3 linked regions of the Schizosaccharomyces pombe genome follow. The gene in region 1 interacts genetically with each later gene. Each region holds a gene or a part of one and is shown in the gene's direction. Other genes may lie near its edges.

Region 1 (5,838 bases):
CAGGGCTTACTTGCTGCTACTCAGCCAGTTACAAGTGTACTTAATACGTCTCCACTTCCAAAAACCCCTGAGAAAGATCGATCTTTAAATGTTACTCCTTCCTCTTCTACTCCTACTCCAGCTTCTGTTCTTGCTCCACCTTCCAGTGCTAGCTTATCGTCTTCCAAGGATGCTAATAGAAGTGTTCCAGAAAGTCCACGCAGAGAGAAAAAGAATCGTGTTACGCTTGACGACTTCACATTTTTGGCTGTATTAGGGAAAGGCAATTTTGGCAAGGTTATGTTGGCTGAATATAAAGTGAATAAAAAGTTTTATGCCATCAAAGTTCTGAAAAAAGAAGCCATTTTAAAGAATGAGGAACTAGAGAGTTTAAAAACTGAAAAGCATGTTTTCGAAGTCGCGAATAAAGAAAAACATCCGTTCTTGCTGAATCTTTTTGCAAGCTTTCAAACTAGTACCAGGGTTTACTTCGTTATGGAATATATTCTTGGTGGTGACCTTATGGTTCATATTCAACGTCAACAGTTTAGCGTGAAACGTGCAAGGTAGTACTTCAATCTTTATTTTTATTTTTATTTTTATTTTTTATTAACCCCATAGATTTTATGGTGCTGAGGTTTGTTTAGCATTGAAGTATTTTCATGAGAATGGAATTGCTTACCGTGATTTGAAATTGGATAATATTCTACTTTGTCCTGATGGTCATATACGAATTGCTGATTATGGACTCTGCAAAGAAAATATGTTGCTTGGCAATACAACTTCCACCTTTTGTGGTACCCCCGAATTCATGGCTCCAGAAGTAAGGCGGAACTTGTTTTGGTTTATTTTATCTAACGAAAATAGATTTTATTAGAACAGCAATATTCCAAGGATGTTGATTGGTGGGCTTTTGGCGTTTTGATGTATCAAATGTTACTGGGTCAATCCCCTTTCAAAGGTGAAGATGAAGAGGAAATATTCGATGCGATTTTAAGCGATGAACCGTTGTTTCCGATTAATATGCCAGCGGATGCGGTTTCGTTATTGAGAGGGGTATGCAAATTTCTAAATATGTTAACTAATTCAAAAAATAGCTTTTAACAAGAGATCCAAATCAACGACTTGGTAGTGGACCAAAAGACGCAAACGAGGTTATGGCTCATCCTTTCTTTGCTAGTATTGTCTGGGATGACTTGTATAACAAACTTTATGAACCATCATATAAACCGCTTATCAACGATCCCCGAGACCTCAATAATTTTGATGAAGAATTTACAAGTATGACAATTGTTAAAATATGGTTAATTACTAACGATCGATTAGGTGCATGTCCAACTTTGACACCTGTCAATACTGTTCTCACACGACAACAACAAGAGTGTTTCAGAGGATTTTCCAGTTTTGCTACTGAATAGAATTAGCTTGTCCTTTGCTTCTGCTTTTTTAAAATTAGAAAATTATGGTAACAATTTCATATAGTTCTGATGCTGCTTCCTTTGCATTCTTACACTTAATTTAGTGTACTCACCCTTTACATGATATTTTTTTTACTTTTCTACGTGTTCATATTTAAAAAATTTCTGCATTTATCATCATTACATTACTTGAAAATAAAGTCGAAATTAGAGAATAATTAAAGTGGCATTAAAACTACTAATGTAAAACTTATCGTTGAATCACCCAAGGTGACTTTGTAGTATTTATACGCAACGTTTGTAATGGCATTCAATCAAAAAGCTAACAGTGAAGTTATGAATGGTTACTGTTTCAGAATACAAAAGTAAAAAATATGAGTAGTTTTTTATTTAACAAGAGTGAAAGGGTTATCTTTGCAGAGATCGGATGGAGGTGGAAGTAAAGCAAGAACTAAGAAGAGAATGAGGGCACTACCACCAACTCAATTATATTGACCAAAGGATTAAATGGGGCCATTAGGAAAACTATGAACGATCTGTAAATATAAACAATCTTTTTTTTTTATGTATAATGCCGGCGACTATTTTGAAATCCACAGCCAGTTCAAAGACTTTGTTAATAATAAAGTTTGATACAAACTCCTCCAGATATCCATTTTATAAGAAACATTTATTAGAGTTAAATTCGGAAAGTACTTTTTTGGGTCTATTAACTAAAGGGCAAGCTGACACATCGATTACGAGACTCAACCAAGACGATGTGAGGCTGTTTGAAAAAGCAAAGACAGTAGCAGATAGGACAAAGGATGTGGCTTATTCATTTTCCGATCCTATTTTATCTACACAGTTGCGAACGCCTCCACCACAACCAACCTCCATTCGATACCTCTATTTTGGTACTTACCGGATAAAACCATGGTATACATCACCGTATCCAGAGGAGTATAGCTGTGCAAAAAATTTATATATATGCGAATCTTGTTTAAAGTATATGAACAGTGATCATGTACTACAAAGGCACAAGGTAAACAACTTTTCAAGTAAGATCATAATGTTATTCGCTATTGCTTGAGTTTAAACGAGGTGTACATTAAAAGATCATAATCTATCCAAATTGAATTTACGGACTAACATAATCAGATGAAATGCTCATGGAGTTATCCACCAGGAGATGAAATATATCGGGATAAGAATATATCAATTTTTGAAGTTGATGGTCAACGGCAACCGGTAAGTAATTTTTTATGCATTTTATACTTATTGATGTTTTTCCTTAGATATATTGTCAAAATTTATGTCTTCTAGCAAAGATGTTTCTTCATTCAAAAATGCTGTACTATGACGTTGAACCGTTTCTTTTCTATGTATTGACTGAATTTGATGGCCAAGAATGCAAAGTTATTGGATATTTCAGTAAAGAGAAACGCTCGGCTTCTGATTATAACGTTTCCTGTATATTAACATTACCCATTTACCAACGCCGAGGATATGGTGTCTTTTTGATTGATTTTAGTTATTTACTTACACAGGTAGAAGGTAAGCTTGGATCACCTGAAAAGCCACTTTCAGATTTAGGCCTCGTTACGTACCGAAGCTATTGGAAAATGAGAGTAGCCAAAGCTCTATTGGAAATCACAACACCGATTAGCATAAATGCTATCGCCAAATCAACATCTATGGTATGCGACGATGTTATATCCACATTGGAATCGTTATCTGTATTTAAGTATGATCCGCTCAAAAAGAAATATGTATTACAACTGAAACGGGATGAACTTGAGAATGTTTATAAAGCTTGGAATATCAAACACCCTCAAAGAGTAAATCCAAAACTTCTAAGATGGACGCCATATCTCGGAGAAGAGCAGATATCTAACCTTTTACTTAAAGAAAATATACTTATTCCTCTACCTCAAAAGCGTCTATTAGATAACTCTCATCATCTGGATTCCGTTTAGTTCAAATAAATAAGTATTTTAATCTTTCGATATTTGTCGTGAAGCATTTGTATCATCTACGGCTTGGTTGTTGCTCTATATTAATGACGCCATTTAATGCAGTAGACAACTCTAGGGAAAATAAGTTGATGGTTGAATTGATAGACTCACAACCTAAAGCACAATCTTGAAGTTGGCTCTTAATGTTTTGCAATTCGATTTCTTCTTCAGCAAGGTTTTCCACACTGCTTATGATAGCTCCATCAAACGAAAATTCTGTTTGTTTCAATACATCTTTTATAGTTGTACCTTCATTCCACTTCAAAGTGGAAAGACGAGAAATGCTTTGCTCCGGAATGTTTTTGAGGTTGATTTTTGAGTTAAGATCGTAAACTTTTTCAACAGAAGCTTGGTGCGGTTTAGTCGGAATGGAAGTAACAAGAGTTTTCTTGGCTTTTGGCTTGGAAGTGGTTTTTCTATTTTCAAAGCGCAAACTTTCAAAAAGGGGAAGAAGTTCATTTCCTATAGAAGGCTCGTCGTTTGGTGGTTCGATTTGTTTACCAGTCGAAGGAGTTGCCCGAACAGTTGGCTGACGGGACGGGTGCTTTGGAGGTAATTTAGGAATAGCCGGTGCTCCTGTTGGTTTTCGAGAAACAGACTTTGCTGATACTTTAGACGAACTGGAAGGCTTGTAAGATGACGTTAATACTGAAGGAGTTTCTAAGCTAGAAGATAAAGCTGCCTGGGTAGCATCACGATCCACTTTACTAAAATCGCTAGCAAATGTGTTTGACTCCAAAGAAGAGCTTAGTTTCACGTCTTTTTGAGACATATTATACTTACCAGCTTCTAGTGCCAAAGCTGTATTTTTCTCGTAAGAACCACTGATGCTATTCTTACCCCTTTCCGAAGAACTCGTTCCACTGTTAAATGAGGGTGCTTGTTCACGACGAGTAGTTTTACGTAAAGAAGGTTTAGATGGAAACAATTGAGCTTGTTCTTGAATAAACATTTCCCGTGTTTGATTATCTCGTCTTTGAGTTGAAGTATCGAATAAGACATCATCTTTTCGGTCTCCTGAAGTCCTTGCAATGGCAGAAGAACTTGAAATTTCTATAACATCACTATGGGCAGATGATGGGGTCCCCCGGGAAACGTTGGAAGAAGGCTTATTGTCAGAAAACCGTCTTTCTTTTTCAACACTCAACTTCTTTTTGGCTGATCGAGAAGAATCAATAGTGAGCTTCTTCTCGATGCGAGGCTGATCCGTTTCTAAATTGGTAACAATTGGGCCGTCCGAAAAATTACGGTTATGTGCGACTCGAGAGTTAAAAGATGAGGAAACTTGTTCTGAAGAATTTTCAGGTAATGATGACCTTGCTTTAGGAATAGCTAGGCTCTTTGCAGGATAGAGATTAGGTTTGTTATCAGCAAAGGAATTACGATAGGCCCAGTCCACTTTGCGGCCATCAGTCGTAGTCACTGAAAGCGGCCTGCCCATATAGTACATATAATTTTTAGCAACAGAAAAAACAAATCGATCGCGAGCAGAAGTGTCCTGAGTTCGCAACAAATGTGGCTTGTTTATTGTCATAGTAACATCATGATCATTAATTACAGTAATATTCTGCAACTCAAATAAAGGCCAGGATTTCACGACTGTCATTCCGCCTTTATCATTTACTTTCAATCTGTGTATATAAAAAATACGAGTCACATCATCACAAGTCAAAGCAATGTAGCGGGGTTTCATCTTTGAGCCAACAACATTAACTCCTCTTTCTTCCTCCACCGGAAGATATGCTAATGATTGCTCATGAGCTTTCCGTTTATCGGTAGTTTGAGCCGAATTGACAGCTTGTAGAATTTCTTGTTCAACGGCATTAGGGTTAGAAGCCATTCGTCTGAAGTGGTGTATTAAATGAAAAAAATTGGGTTAAATAGATAAATATTAACAAAAAAAAAACCATTAATTAAACATTCTACCACTTTCCAATGGCAAGTAATACTGAAAGCGCCTTATTCAACGGAAAAACAAATTTTCTAAGGAAACGAGACTTTTTTTTAATTCACAGAGTCTTTATAAGCAAGGGATAAAATTTTCTTGTAAAATTGAATTCTAGCGGTAAAGAAATATATAAATTTGATAATAATTTTTACAATTGTGGTGGAATGGTGGGTTAATAAGGAGAAATGTCAAAACGTAAACAAGTGACATATGTAGGCAAATGCTATAGAAGTCGATTTTTTAAAGTTTATTTAAACTTGCAAGCATTGTCTACGTTCATAATATTTATATATATTTAAACATCTTTAAATATTTTTGCTGTGCATGAAAAGTACAATAATCCATAACTTTTTTGTTGATGACTTCGCTGTACTTTATGGCAGCTTTGTTTATTCGACGAGCTTAAAAAATCCAAATTATTGAAACAGGAAACACATTGATAGCCATAGTGTAATTCTAATTGCATAACCAGCAACGTTTAAAATGGTTAGCTATA
Region 2 (7,740 bases), on another chromosome or scaffold:
AACTGTCCATCAAGACGCTCCTCCTTTTAAAATCGGTGAAGATGGAAATTCTACTTATGGAACAGATCCTAGTAAGCCCTGGGCTTCCATGAAGCATACCTTTTGGCCTCGCACTCGTGTTGAAGGTAGCATCGTTGCAAGGGGTAGAGTTGTGGATGTCACTGGTCCCGGCATGTTTGTTCATGCACTCCAAAATGGCAAACCCCACCATCTTGCTTCATCTTGGGAGTTTGCCCTCTTGCAGCATAAAAAGTTTACCGCCATCATGATGCAGTTCAAGACACCCCCTAGCTATGGTTCTACTATTGTCAATATTGGTGGTATCGCTATGAAAGACAAAATTATTAGTGCAACTGTCGATAATACTATTGAGCACGTTGAGACCACACTCGATCCCGATACGGAATGGCATGAACCCACTCGCATTTCCTACGAATGGGACGGAAAGGATGCTGAAACATACACCGAAGATATTCATCTTTCAGTCGATGCTCCTTTGGGAAGACGTCTTCAACGCATCGACGTTCTTGCCGAGATACCATCTTGGCTTAAGGGTTTCGTCCATGGAGTCTCTGGAACGAAACCTTTCATCTACCAATATTTCTCACCTGTCAAATTTACACTGAAGATGGGTGACGAGGTTATTGAAGATGAAGCCACGCTTTTTAATGAGACTACTTTTATTTCATAAGCATCTTTTAACAAAAATATTCAAGCATAAATAATTCGATGCATTTTGGGCTTAAACAAAGAGTGAACGTGCATCCATCTTTTTTTCAGAGCTTTTCTATATTAAACTCTCTGGTTTTGTATTCTTTTTTTCCTTTTTTTTGTCCTGTTGTTTTTAATTTCGTGTCTTCGAATTTTTTTTTCATACTATTTTTCGTTTTATTAAAATAACTTCATATAGACTTATCACTTATACTCTGAACTTGATAGTTGTGCTGCTCTCATATTGAATATGATTCTTGTTAATGGTCTTGTGCTACAAGCTCTGAAATTCATTCGTTCTCTTGTTTGTGTACTAAATCGATCTTGTCATCCTAATACCTATACTGATGGACATGGGCAAGGCATCTGGCAAAATTGTGCATTCGCTTATGTTTATTGAAAGACTGCAGTCTGTGTAAACGAGCGAGAATGTTTTAAAATTTTTTAAAAATTTGAATACTTTTCATTTTAGAGACTTCAAATAATATTGTTTTCATCATTAAGTGGATACTAATTAGCAACTTCTCAACTTCTATTTTATTTAAAAAACTAATTCATTGTAAATGTTGTATTGGTTTTCTACGAAAGCAGTTTTTCTATTATTGATAATTTCGCTTTTACCACTTTATAATAAAAAAGTATTGTATGTTTAATGTTTTCTAATATTTTTTTAATAAGTTTTCCTATGTTCCGATAAGAGCAGGCAGTGAACGCGTAAACAGATATATATGTATGTATTTATTATTAAAATATTATGTAAATAATTCTTAAAAAACCGAATCATTCTAGCATAAAGCATTGGAAACCAGTAATTCAACGTAACTGAATTTCACGGATTTACAAGCAAGTCGTACAGTCCTTTCTTCATTCAATAATATTGATTTAATAATAATATGTATATGCAATTTTCCTTTTTTTTTTTTTTTTTTTTTTAAACATTTTAAAATAAAGCATAGGCGTTTAATCATTTTTTATTAAAGTGCGTAACTTATGTTGTAAAAAACTACCACCTACTTTTCTCTTAAAACACCAGAATCTATAAGTGTAATGATTCCCCTTAACAACGAATTTAGAAGCTATCAATAGTATTGCGTCTGTTTTTATCAATCTCACAAACAATTATAGGAAGTATTCTGCTCGTGTGATTGTTCTTTTTCTTCTGGTAAAGATGAACATATGCATGTTTATTTGAATAGCTTAGGATTCATTATTTTTTAAGAGACAAATTTCTCGTCAATTGAATGAAACCTTCCGCCTTTATTTTCTTTTTGAATGGATATTTCAAGTTTTCTACTTCCTCAACTTTTACGTAAATATCAACAAGATGTGTATAATATCGCGAGCAAGCAAAATACTTTACTTGTTATGAGAACGGGCGCTGGTAAGACATTACTTGCTGTGAAGTTGATAAAACAAAAGCTCGAGGAGCAAATTTTAATCCAAGAATCAAATCTTGAACATAAAAAAATATCAGTTTTTCTCGTCAACAAAGTCCCTTTGGTATTTCAACAAGCGGAATACATTCGATCTCAACTACCGGCTAAGGTTGGCATGTTTTATGGCGAATTATCTATAGAAATGAGCGAGCAGTTGTTGACTAATATTATATTGAAGTATAATGTGATTGTTATTACTGCAGATTTGTTCTATTTGTTTCTTGCAAGAGGTTTTCTTTCAATAAATGATTTGAATTTAATTATATTCGACGAATGTCATCATGCAATTGGAAATGATGCGTATGCTCGCATCATGAATGATTTTTATCACAGAGCCAAAGCAGTATTGTCAAAAAAACATTTCACCCTACCAAGAATTTTTGGTATGACTGCTTCACCATTCACTGGAAAAAAAGGAAACTTATACCATCGACTGTATCAATGGGAGCAATTATTTGATTCTAAAGCACACGTGGTTTCGGAAAACGAGCTAGCCGATTACTTCTGTCTTCCCGAAGAAAGCTATGTAATGTATTCCAATAAGTTGGTTGTGCCACCCTCGGATTCTATTATCAAGAAATGCGAGGAAACTCTTCAAGGATGCAAGTTAATTTCTCGGGCTGTTAAGACTGCTTTAGCAGAAACCATAGATATGGGTCTTTGGTTTGGGGAGCAAGTTTGGTTATATTTGGTTGATTTTGTGGAAACGAAAAGATTAAAAAAAAAGGCTTTAGGGAAGCAGTTGTCAGATGACGAGGAACTGGCAATTGACCGGTTAAAAATATTTGTTGAAGATTGGAAAAATAACAAATATTCAGACAATGGCCCTAGAATCCCTGTTTTTGATTCCACTGATGTTACTGATAAAGTCTTTAAACTCTTAGAATTGTTAAAGGCTACTTACCGCAAAAGTGATAGCGTTCGTACGGTTATTTTCGTTGAAAGAAAAGCTACGGCGTTTACTTTAAGTTTGTTTATGAAAACTCTTAATCTGCCTAACATCCGCGCTCATTCTTTTATAGGACATGGACCGTCCGATCAGGGTGAATTTTCTATGACATTCAGGAGGCAAAAAGATACCCTTCATAAGTTTAAGACTGGAAAATATAATGTTTTAATTGCTACTGCAGTTGCAGAAGAAGGTATCGATGTACCATCATGTAACTTAGTTATACGCTTCAATATTTGTCGGACTGTCACCCAGTATGTCCAATCTCGAGGTAGAGCGAGAGCAATGGCTTCAAAGTTTCTAATTTTTTTAAACACAGAAGAGTTGTTAATTCATGAACGCATTCTACACGAAGAAAAAAATCTTAAATTTGCCCTTTCAGAGCTCAGCAATTCGAATATTTTTGATTCATTGGTATGTGAGGAAAGAGAACGTGTGACTGATGATATCGTCTATGAAGTTGGCGAGACTGGTGCTTTACTCACAGGGTTGTATGCAGTTAGTCTGCTTTATAACTTTTGTAACACACTTTCAAGAGACGTATACACAAGATATTATCCCACTTTTACAGCTCAACCCTGTCTTTCAGGTTGGTATTGTTTTGAGGTAGAATTGCCAAAAGCCTGCAAAGTTCCAGCGGCTCAAGGATCTCCCGCTAAATCAATTAGGAAAGCCAAACAGAATGCTGCGTTCATCATGTGTTTGGATCTGATTCGTATGGGTCTTATAGACAAACATTTAAAACCCCTAGATTTTAGAAGAAAAATTGCCGACCTTGAAACTCTTGAGGAAGACGAGCTAAAAGATGAAGGTTATATCGAGACATATGAGCGCTATGTACCAAAAAGTTGGATGAAAGTTCCTGAAGATATTACACGTTGCTTCGTCTCTTTACTTTATACTGATGCTAATGAAGGAGACAATCATATATTCCATCCCTTAGTGTTTGTACAAGCTCATTCATTCCCCAAAATTGATAGCTTTATTCTTAATTCGACTGTTGGCCCCCGAGTTAAAATTGTTTTAGAAACGATTGAGGATAGTTTTAAGATCGATTCTCATCTGCTTGAGTTGTTAAAAAAATCAACTCGTTATCTACTTCAATTCGGTTTATCTACTTCTCTTGAGCAACAAATACCTACTCCTTACTGGCTTGCGCCTTTAAATTTGTCATGCACGGATTACCGGTTCTTAGAAAATCTGATAGATGTTGACACTATCCAAAATTTTTTTAAATTACCGGAACCTGTTCAAAATGTTACTGATTTGCAATCCGATACTGTATTATTAGTAAATCCACAGTCAATATATGAACAGTATGCTTTTGAGGGATTTGTCAATTCTGAATTTATGATTCCTGCTAAAAAGAAAGATAAGGCCCCTTCTGCCTTATGTAAGAAACTTCCTTTACGATTAAATTATTCACTTTGGGGCAATAGAGCTAAATCCATTCCCAAATCACAGCAAGTGCGCAGTTTTTATATCAATGACCTCTATATTCTCCCAGTCTCTAGACATTTGAAAAACAGCGCCTTGCTAATACCCTCCATACTGTACCATATTGAAAACTTATTGGTCGCCTCTTCTTTTATCGAACACTTTCGACTTGATTGTAAAATTGACACTGCTTGTCAGGCTTTAACATCTGCGGAATCACAATTGAATTTTGATTACGATCGTCTAGAGTTTTACGGAGACTGCTTTCTAAAATTGGGTGCTTCTATTACAGTTTTTTTGAAATTTCCTGATACTCAAGAGTACCAACTGCATTTTAATCGAAAGAAAATTATTAGCAACTGTAATTTGTATAAAGTAGCAATAGATTGTGAGTTGCCGAAGTATGCTCTCTCGACTCCCTTGGAAATCCGTCATTGGTGTCCATATGGTTTTCAGAAAAGCACATCGGATAAGTGCCGCTACGCCGTTTTACAGAAATTATCGGTTAAGAGGATAGCAGATATGGTCGAAGCTAGTATCGGTGCATGTCTTTTAGACAGTGGACTTGACTCAGCACTCAAGATCTGTAAATCTTTAAGCGTTGGTCTGCTGGATATCAGCAATTGGGATGAGTGGAACAATTATTTTGATTTAAATACATATGCGGATTCACTGAGAAATGTTCAATTCCCTTACTCCTCGTATATAGAGGAAACTATTGGATATTCATTTAAAAACAAGAAACTACTCCATTTGGCATTTATTCATCCTTCCATGATGTCTCAGCAAGGTATTTACGAAAACTATCAACAGTTGGAGTTTTTGGGTGATGCTGTATTGGATTACATTATCGTACAATACCTTTATAAAAAGTATCCTAACGCAACTTCTGGCGAATTAACTGATTACAAATCTTTTTATGTGTGTAACAAGAGTCTATCATACATTGGCTTTGTTTTGAATTTGCACAAATATATCCAACATGAAAGCGCAGCAATGTGTGATGCAATATTTGAATATCAAGAATTAATTGAAGCGTTCAGGGAGACTGCTTCAGAGAATCCGTGGTTCTGGTTTGAAATTGATTCACCAAAGTTCATTTCAGATACTTTAGAAGCTATGATATGTGCCATTTTTTTGGATTCTGGGTTTAGTTTACAATCTCTACAATTCGTTTTACCTCTTTTTCTTAATTCGTTAGGGGATGCGACACATACTAAGGCTAAAGGAGATATTGAACACAAGGTATACCAATTACTGAAAGATCAGGGATGTGAAGACTTCGGAACAAAGTGTGTCATCGAGGAGGTGAAATCCAGTCACAAAACATTGTTAAATACTGAACTCCATTTAACAAAGTATTATGGGTTTTCATTCTTCCGCCACGGGAATATTGTTGCTTACGGCAAATCCCGTAAAGTTGCCAATGCAAAGTATATTATGAAACAAAGACTTCTCAAATTGTTAGAGGATAAGTCTAACTTACTTTTGTATTCTTGTAATTGCAAATTTAGTAAGAAAAAGCCATCAGATGAGCAAATAAAAGGAGATGGAAAAGTTAAAAGTTTGACTTGAGACTTGAAATATACAGTATTTCATTTTTTATGACCGCGGCCCTTGTAACTTTTCAAACTTTCAATTTGGGTCTCCAAAGCACGGATCCTTTCGTGATATTCAGAAAGTTCCGAATTCAAAGCATCTCGAGTTTCAATCATTTTCTCTTCTTTGGCCTGAAAGAAGCTTTCAGTTTCATTAGTCATTTGTGTTATCTTTTGTTGAATCGCACGTTTCTCATTGTTCAAGCGTTCGTAATGCTCTTTTTTCAGCTTAGGAATGCCACTCTTTCGATTCGTAAGCTGCTCTCTACGATATCGTTCATAGATGTTGGTTTCAGTTGTATTTATAAGCTCGAGCATATGCCTATTAATTAGCAATTTCTTCAATTTTAAAAAATCACAATGTGTTTCTTCATATATTTCAGAGGTTCCCCATGGGTAACGACGCCCTTGCGATTTTTCCCCATCGTCTTTGCAAACTTCATTTACACTGGAAATGATAGCGTAAGGTAAGGATGAATCTAGTAATTCGGCAGTTTCGTAATCAGAATACTCTGTTGATGGATGGAAAACGTCGATTGATTGAGCTTCCAGGATCCTTCTAATTTTTTGCTTTATTTGTGTTAATTCGGGAGTTGTAAATGTATCTGCCTTTGCTATTACTGGCACAAGGTTTACATGGGTCGATAGCTCCTTCATAGCTAACACATCTAAAGGAAGCATTCCAAACGAAACTGGCGTAATAAAGTAGAGACAAACGTGGACTCTAGTGTCTTTCCTTGGTACACGGAGAGAGTTTTGATCATGAATTAGATACCTTTCGTGTTGTTCGTCTAAATATTCTGCAACCGTATTCCAGCAACTGGTATTGTCAATGAAATCACCGAACCCTGGGGTGTCGAGCACCGTAAGATTGATATGAAAACCATCTTCTTCAATTACGGCCTTATTCTTTTTAACTTCTAAGGTCTTTTTGGCTATGGTCTCCTTAGCCGTTTCATATGATTTTTCTGGTTGCAAAGAAGTAGCAAAAAGAGTATTGAAGAACGTTGTTTTTCCAGTACCTGAGGCTCCGCAAAGCATGATTGTTAAACCACATTCTTTTCTTTTTATTAAATTTTCTCTGTGGTATATTTGTTAATGAATGATTTATGAATTTATGACTAGATTGTAACGATAACATACCTTTTGGATGGTAGACTATCCAAATTTAATAATAATTGAAGGTTTTCAGTCAAAGACATCGTAAAAATTTATTTCTCGAACTATCTGTATTTTGCTCTTTAGTAGGTTCAGGTTTGTTTCAAACAGCGTTTATCAGCGAAATATAAACAAACAACCGAATGTCCAGTGATAAAAAGCACAGATAAATAAATAAATATGCCTCATCAAAAATTTTTAAATATACAAATTAAATTATCTACATAGAAGACTTTTAATTCTTTTTCACATCTTGTACCAAAATACTTTCATAATCCTGGTTTACCAGAGTTGAAACAAGAATACAAATAAAAACGATGCTCAAATTTACTAGCTCTTTAATCATTAGAAGAATAAACATTAATTTTTAAGACTAAATATGAACTTCTGTTGAATTAACTGCCTTGATCCAAAAAAAACACAAAACGTAAATTGTACTTTTTTTTATTTT
Region 3 (6,424 bases), 1.0 Mb from region 1:
GGATGTATACGAACACATATCGGCTTGTTCCGATTTAGTATGATATTCTAGTTCACGACTAAATTCGAGATCTTCATCATGCTTTCTAGACCAATTTTCTAGTTCTTGAAGCTGGTGATGGCGAGCCTGACGAACCATATAATCCCTTTCTTCACTATTGTGTACTGCCAACAATGTGGTCTTATTGTTATGGTTAATTGACAGTTTGTATAGAGAGACCTCTTTCTCCTTCTGCAGCATTTCAGCACCTGCTGGTCCATAAGTTTCAATTGAAGAAATAGAAATTTCGGTTAAATTCCAATTATACAAAACCTGCTGCTTAGCAGGGAAATCAACTTCTTTCATGTGAGAAGTAGTAACCAACAGTCTATCATTAAACAGAAGCATATTGACAAGAAGCTTAGGTCTCTGATTGTCAATATTGATTAACATCCAATTGTATTGCTCACATATAAGCTGTCTTTGAGGCGCTTCCCAGAATGCTTCATCTAGCCCTTCAATGGATGATCGTAGTCTCTGTACCGTTTGTTTTATTGATTCGTCGGAAGGGTCATGCGTATGGTCGACCAAGTTTAATCCTTCAATGTCAGTCTCCAGGGTTTTCAACAGAGACTGAAACTTTTTAAAATCTGAAGTCATGCTCTCAACCTCCCCTGATATAAATACATATTCATTCAAATTTTTGTAAAAATTCTTTTCCAAATTTTTACGGACGCCCATGTGAATGCGTAGAAGCTTATTGTATAAAGACACAAATTCATCTTCACTAAGGTCCTGTAAAACATCGTTTAAATCTTTTTTGCAAAATTAGTTTCCAATAGACATAATTACACATACAGCTTTGAGCATCAAAATTTTGATTATCGAAAAATTTAGGCTGTAAAAAAACTTCATTTTGTGAAATGATATGTTTTGTTTGCCGTTTTTGTCGATAAATATCATCTGTTTTAGAGGTACCGACTCGTAATCGCGTCGGTGACTTTTAAAAAGCAGTTTTAGTAATAGGTTGTTTTTATTTAACTTCAGTACATACCTGTCTTTGGCTTTCATTTGGTATGGACTCCGAAGCAACACTTAAATGATTAGATTTCCTAACAAAAAATTAGCTCAAACACCCGATATTCTCTAGCTGCGTACATGAATTCATCTTCAAAAGAAGATGGATTGTCAGGCATTTTTTTTTCAAGTTTCTGATAGAAGAATAAATATTATGTATCTAAAGGATGTTAAATTGAATGCTTCACATTTGAAATAAGTTTAACAATTTACCAATTAAAATAAGGGAATGAAGAACCTATTTGTGGTATTTACAAATAGGAATAATAAATTAATTTATCCTTGAGCAATTGCTCTATTTTTAAAAATCTATTAAGTTGTTTGCTTTGCCGAAGTAGTTGGACGTGTTTGTAAAATCAAGCGCTGACGAGGGGTTTGGAATATCAGGGCTGCACTTAATTTTGAAACGAGTAAAGCTACGTAGCTCAAATTATATACCATGCTTAAAAAATAAATTTATAGTAAATATCAGCTAGATATTATAACACGATATTGAACATGAATTAAGGTGCATGATATCAGTCGTTTAACTGATGGAAGTTTCCTAACAATTTTTTATTCCTTGGTGAAAAAACTACCTCAATATCTGCTTTGGATTGAAAACTGAAATTCAACTTGCCGGTTCATATAGGATGAATATGTATTCTTAGTATTTTGATTCTACTTCCCTATACGTAAAGGAGCCTTCACTTAACTTTATTCCACCGTGCTACAAACTTCCTTCAAGAGCAATTCATAGATATTGATACTATAACGGTCAATTAAATTAAAAAGGCACACATATACATGTATGTATAAGTGGATAAATAGGAACATTATAATCTTTTTTATATAAATCGAAGGTTTTTCGTATCTAACGAATTTATAGCCAGCTGAAAGGAATCTTCTATGATAAAAGACCACTTCGCAGAGCGAGGCTGCTGATACTGCATAAAGGCGCTATGAGATTTAGTGTTTTATTTTTACAAAAGGTTCCAAATTGATTTGTTGTCAGGGTTATAATTAAATCCAGATTTTGTATGGCAATGTAAAGCAATGGCAGTTTCGTTAAATGACTTTATAAGTGTTAAATTAAAACGTTATTCTCGTGAGTCACCCTGGGAAAGACTTAGAGTCCCATATAGAAACAAAAAGCAAAAGAAATGGGCTTCCGTTCACAATAATGAAGCTCAGTTGCACTCGGCTAATAAACGAAATGATAATTGTCTAATCCAAAGAAGTAGTACTTGGAGATTGGGGGATATGATTACACTTGTCATAAAAGATATTCCAGTTACTTGGCTTTCAAATGAGGGAGGAAAACTATACAACTTGTGGGAACCCCTTCATGATTACGGTACAATAGAATTCATGAAGATTAATGAACCTTTGAATGGACAGACAAGTACTACTGCAATAGTCCAATTTGCTCCTCCTCCCAAAGTTCCATTCTGGGAACCAAATGGGAAAATAAATGTCAAAGGTGTTGATCTAGCTGTTCAAATTGACATAACAGCACATCGTTCCCACATCAGCCGACAAGTTTTCTCTAAGAATAGTTTTAGAAGCGATCAGCTAGTAAAAATCCCGTTATCCTCCTTTAAGCTCGGGCAAGTTTATGATGAAAGAATTGTCCCACTGTTTGGTGTTGATTGTGGAATAACTGTAACTGAATCAAACTTACTTGTATATTTTAATTTCAAAAAGCTCTGTGTTCTCTTTGATGCTTCTTTTGACAAACAGATCGAAACCTTTCGTCTGGACTTCGATTTTCATTCCATAATAGGCGATGTAGGGACGGATTATTACGATGATCATATTTCCCTCGTATTTAGATTTAGATTTTCTCCACTAATTTTCAGAAAATCTAAAAATGCAACTGAATCCAGAGTTCAAACTTTCTGGACTGCATCTCATCTTTGGAGACGACATTATGATATTCTACCTTTCAATGTTTCACCAACGACTGCTAGTCCTATAGAGCTACTTAATTGCCATAACGCCCCCATTGGACGCTGCAATGTTTTAGTCCTTAGCTTTTCCATAAGGGATGAGTCTGATAAAGATGACATTGCCTTTCTTTTACACAACTTGGAAAAATTCAATTTGAAAAGTCAACTTGATAAAGTGGTTTTCCATCTTGTCCCAGACTACAAACATCGCTGTAGTCTAATAAATGATAAAGAAATTGAGGAAGAGATTGCTTATCTTTTGCAGGCTTGCCTTTCTAAAAACTTATTATCAGAAATTGATTTGCCCATTATATTGGCGAATTTAAAGAAATTATCGAAAGAGAGAGCAAAAAAATTCCTAAGACTAATTCTAACGTCCAAAACCGCTTTAATAAATCCTTCTGAGCTAGATTTTACTAAGTCTTTTGTCTTTTACGATTTATCTTCCGCTTCTTCTATTCACATTAAAAAATTGTACGTTACACCTACTACTCTTCGAATAGTTGAAGACTCATTAGAAGCAGGAAATCGTGTTATAAGAAATTTTAAGGACTTTGCAAACCGTTTTATGCGTGTGCAAATAACTGATGAATACTATAAGCAAAAAATTCGAGGCGGTTCTGATGGGTTTAGAAATGAAAAATTGTATTCTCGCATCCAACAATTATTAACCTACGGAATTAAAGTTGGTAATCAAATTTACGAATTTTTAGCTTTTGGAAATTCTCAATTAAGAGAGCATGGTGCTTACTTTTTTGCTTCGGGATCTGATCTAAATGCCAAACAGATCAGGGAATGGATGGGTGACTTTAGTGAAATCAATTCAGTATCTAAGTATGCAGCAAGGATGGGACAATGCTTTTCAACGACAAAGGAAATTAATCGATTTTGTGTTGACATATCCCTTCAGGATGATATTGTTCGTAACAACCACTGCTTTACTGATGGGGTTGGAATGGCATCATTATCTGTAATTCGAAGACTTTCTTTGGAAGTAAAAAATCATGATATGTTTCCCTCTGCGTTTCAATTTCGTATGGGTGGTTATAAAGGCGTTTTATCTTTAGCTCCTCCGACTAAGCTTGAATACCATCAAGGAAATCTTGTGTTTCCACGCCGTAGTCAAGATAAATTTAAATCATTCCATAGTACCTTGGAAGTTATTAAAATATCTCGATTTTCAAATGCCCATCTGAATATGCAACTGATCACCTTATTGGAAGGACTCGGGGTTGAAAAAACCGTATTTTTGGAATTGACTAGAAGTCAGTTGTCAAAAATGAACGAATCGATAAACAGCAAACAAAAATCCATTTTAATGTTACGGGACAACGTAGATGAATATCACTCTACTTTAATTATTGCTGATTTTATCCAGGCCGGTTTCCTTGAAAGAGATGATGCTTTCACCGAGAATTTATTAAATCTATATTATGAATGGGTTCTTAGGTTAATTAAGGAAAAACAAAAAGTTAGTGTTCCAAAGGGTGCCTATTTACTTGGTGTAGCTGATGAAACTGGAACACTAAAGGGTCATTATGATGATGCTGTTTTGTCAGTACCTGAAATTTTCATCCAAATTACCGACACTTCTACCAGTTTTGGTTCATATTCAACTGGAAAGCTGAAAACAAGGGTTATAGTTGGATTGTGTATTGTTGCAAGGAATCCCTCGCTTCATCCAGGTGACGTACGTGTCTGTAAAGCTGTCAGATGCGATGAGCTTATGCATTTAAAAAATGTGATAGTGTTTCCGACAACGGGTGATCGAAGCATTCCTGCTATGTGCTCTGGTGGTGATCTGGATGGGGATGAGTACACAGTTATATGGGATCAACGTCTTCTTCCTAAAATTGTTAATTATCCCCCATTGCTTGAATCATCTCCCAAGAAGTCTATAGATTTTTTGGAAGGAAAGCCACTTATCGATTCGGTAAAAGAATTTTTTGTGAATTATATAAAATATGATTCGCTAGGTCTAATTTCAAATGCTTGGAAGGCATGGGCCCATGACCATGATAATAATCCGGAAGGGATATTTGGAAATGTGTGTTTAGAACTTGCAGAAATGCATTCAAAAGCTGTAGATTTTGCTAAATCGGGAGTAGCTTGTAAAATGCAAGCCAAATACCATCCCAAACGATATCCTGACTTCATGCAAAAAACAAAAACTCGTTCTTTTCGTTCCGAAACCGCGGTTGGCAAAATTTTCAGATACGCTGCACGATTCCAAAGAGAAAGTGGCAGACCTGCAACTTATAATCCGATAATGAATACTGTTTATGATCCTTGTATGAAACTTCCAAGGTTTAAAACTGAATATCTGAATGTAGCTGAAGAAGTGAAGAAACACTATGATAATGACCTGAGATCAATTATGGCTCGTTTTGATATTTCCACAGAATATGAAGTTTACACAGCTTTTATCCTTTTTAAAGATGATTTAGCTAAAACCGTAAATGAATATGGTCTTAGGGAGGAAGTTAGCTTTCAGTTCGACCTTCTAAAGAAAAAATACACTCAAGAGTACTTAGAGAAATGCGCTTTATCAAATCAATCGGCATTTGATTCTTCGGAATATGAAGAACGGATAAACAGTGCGGTTGCTGCCACTTACGATGTGACATACGATCAACGTGTCAAATCTGTTGGCAATGGCACTACTGAGGTATTGATTTCATTTCCATATTTATTTTCTAGTCGTCTTTGTCAGCTTTCACGAAAAGCCATGCTTACTGCTAATAATTTTTAAATCGAATATACATTCGAAGCTTTAATTGCTCGTAAAAGGCTAATAGTAATTGTACTCATTATCGACAATGGAACATAGAACAGCAAAACAGGTAGCTAGAGTTAACATTTAACAAGACTGTTGTATGTTTCTGCTGAAGGAAAAGAGTTGTCATAATTTTTACACATATACTCGATGGTTAAAGCAATTTAATCGTAATAATGTATAATTAACGATTTTTATATCTGCCAAGCTTAATCTAATTTTCACCATTAATTTAAGTAGAATAATTATAAAATTTTGTAACACGAAACAAACCAAAACTGTAAAGAAACTACGGCATGTGAACTCCAATTCAGCTTCTCCGGGCAAGATAAATGCTTTAACCAACCCATTTTCTAGCAGATTGGAAAAGACGGATCCAAGGACCATGAACGCCCCACTCGCTAGCTTTCGAATGAGGGTAATAACTGTTTGCAACTTTCAAAACTACACGTTCAGGGTGAGGCATCATAGCTAAAAAGCGACCACAAGGGGAGCGAACACCAGCTATAGCATCTCTGCTTCCATTAGGGTTGAATGGATAACGGCTAGTACGCTCGTTGTAGTTGTTAACGTAGTATATCAAATCCAAACCTTCCTTCTTAAATTGTTCGTAATCGGACTCTGAATCGAAAACAGCTCTACCTTCTCCATGGGCAACGAC

Evidence for each region. Genes that interact genetically often act in the same process or in processes that back each other up.
Region 2: of mst2 (region 1) and dcr1, changing one suppresses a phenotype caused by changing the other (phenotypic suppression), as found in Schizosaccharomyces pombe (5 studies listed by BioGRID, with this or other methods).
Region 3: of mst2 (region 1) and rdp1, a mutation in one rescues a mutant of the other (synthetic rescue), as found in Schizosaccharomyces pombe (2 studies listed by BioGRID, with this or other methods).

What each region holds. Positions count from the first base shown.
Region 1 is NC_003424.3:2,362,964-2,368,801, reverse strand, and holds mst2 (histone acetyltransferase Mst2), read left to right. Parts: upstream 1-1,867; 5' UTR 1,868-1,968; coding exon 1,969-2,421; exon of another isoform or gene 2,422-2,537; coding exon 2,538-2,627; exon of another isoform or gene 2,628-2,674; coding exon 2,675-3,355; 3' UTR 3,356-3,407; coding exon of another isoform or gene 3,408-5,234; 3' UTR 5,235-5,303; downstream 5,304-5,838. Other genes in the region: protein kinase C (PKC)-like Pck1, read left to right, coding at 1-545, 601-802, 847-1,035, 1,077-1,260, 1,306-1,397; exocyst complex subunit Sec3, read right to left, coding at 3,408-5,234. UniProt on the Schizosaccharomyces pombe protein: Component of the mst2 complex which is a highly specific H3 lysine 14 (H3K14) acetyltransferase that functions together with gcn5 to regulate global levels of H3K14 acetylation (H3K14ac), critical for DNA damage checkpoint activation.
Region 2 is NC_003421.2:1,504,534-1,512,273, reverse strand, and holds dcr1 (dicer), read left to right. Parts: upstream 1-1,716; 5' UTR 1,717-1,983; coding exon 1,984-6,108; 3' UTR 6,109-6,128; coding exon of another isoform or gene 6,129-7,212; 3' UTR 7,213-7,274; downstream 7,275-7,740. Other genes in the region: ER to Golgi ceramide transport protein, lipocalin superfamily Svf1, read left to right, coding at 1-691; septin Spn6, read right to left, coding at 6,129-7,212, 7,275-7,333. UniProt on the Schizosaccharomyces pombe protein: Required for G1 arrest and mating in response to nitrogen starvation. Ago1 regulation of cytokinesis and cell cycle checkpoints occurs downstream of dcr1. Required, indirectly, for regulated hyperphosphorylation of cdc2.
Region 3 is NC_003424.3:1,323,162-1,329,585, forward strand, and holds rdp1 (RNA-directed RNA polymerase (RDRC) Rdp1), read left to right. Parts: upstream 1-1,779; 5' UTR 1,780-1,844; exon of another isoform or gene 1,845-1,924; 5' UTR 1,925-2,091; coding exon 2,092-5,739; 3' UTR 5,740-5,900; downstream 5,901-6,424. Other genes in the region: exo8 (exocyst complex subunit Exo84), read right to left, coding at 1-794, 838-979, 1,034-1,091, 1,138-1,175; phosphoribosylformylglycinamidine synthase Ade3, read right to left, coding at 6,101-6,424.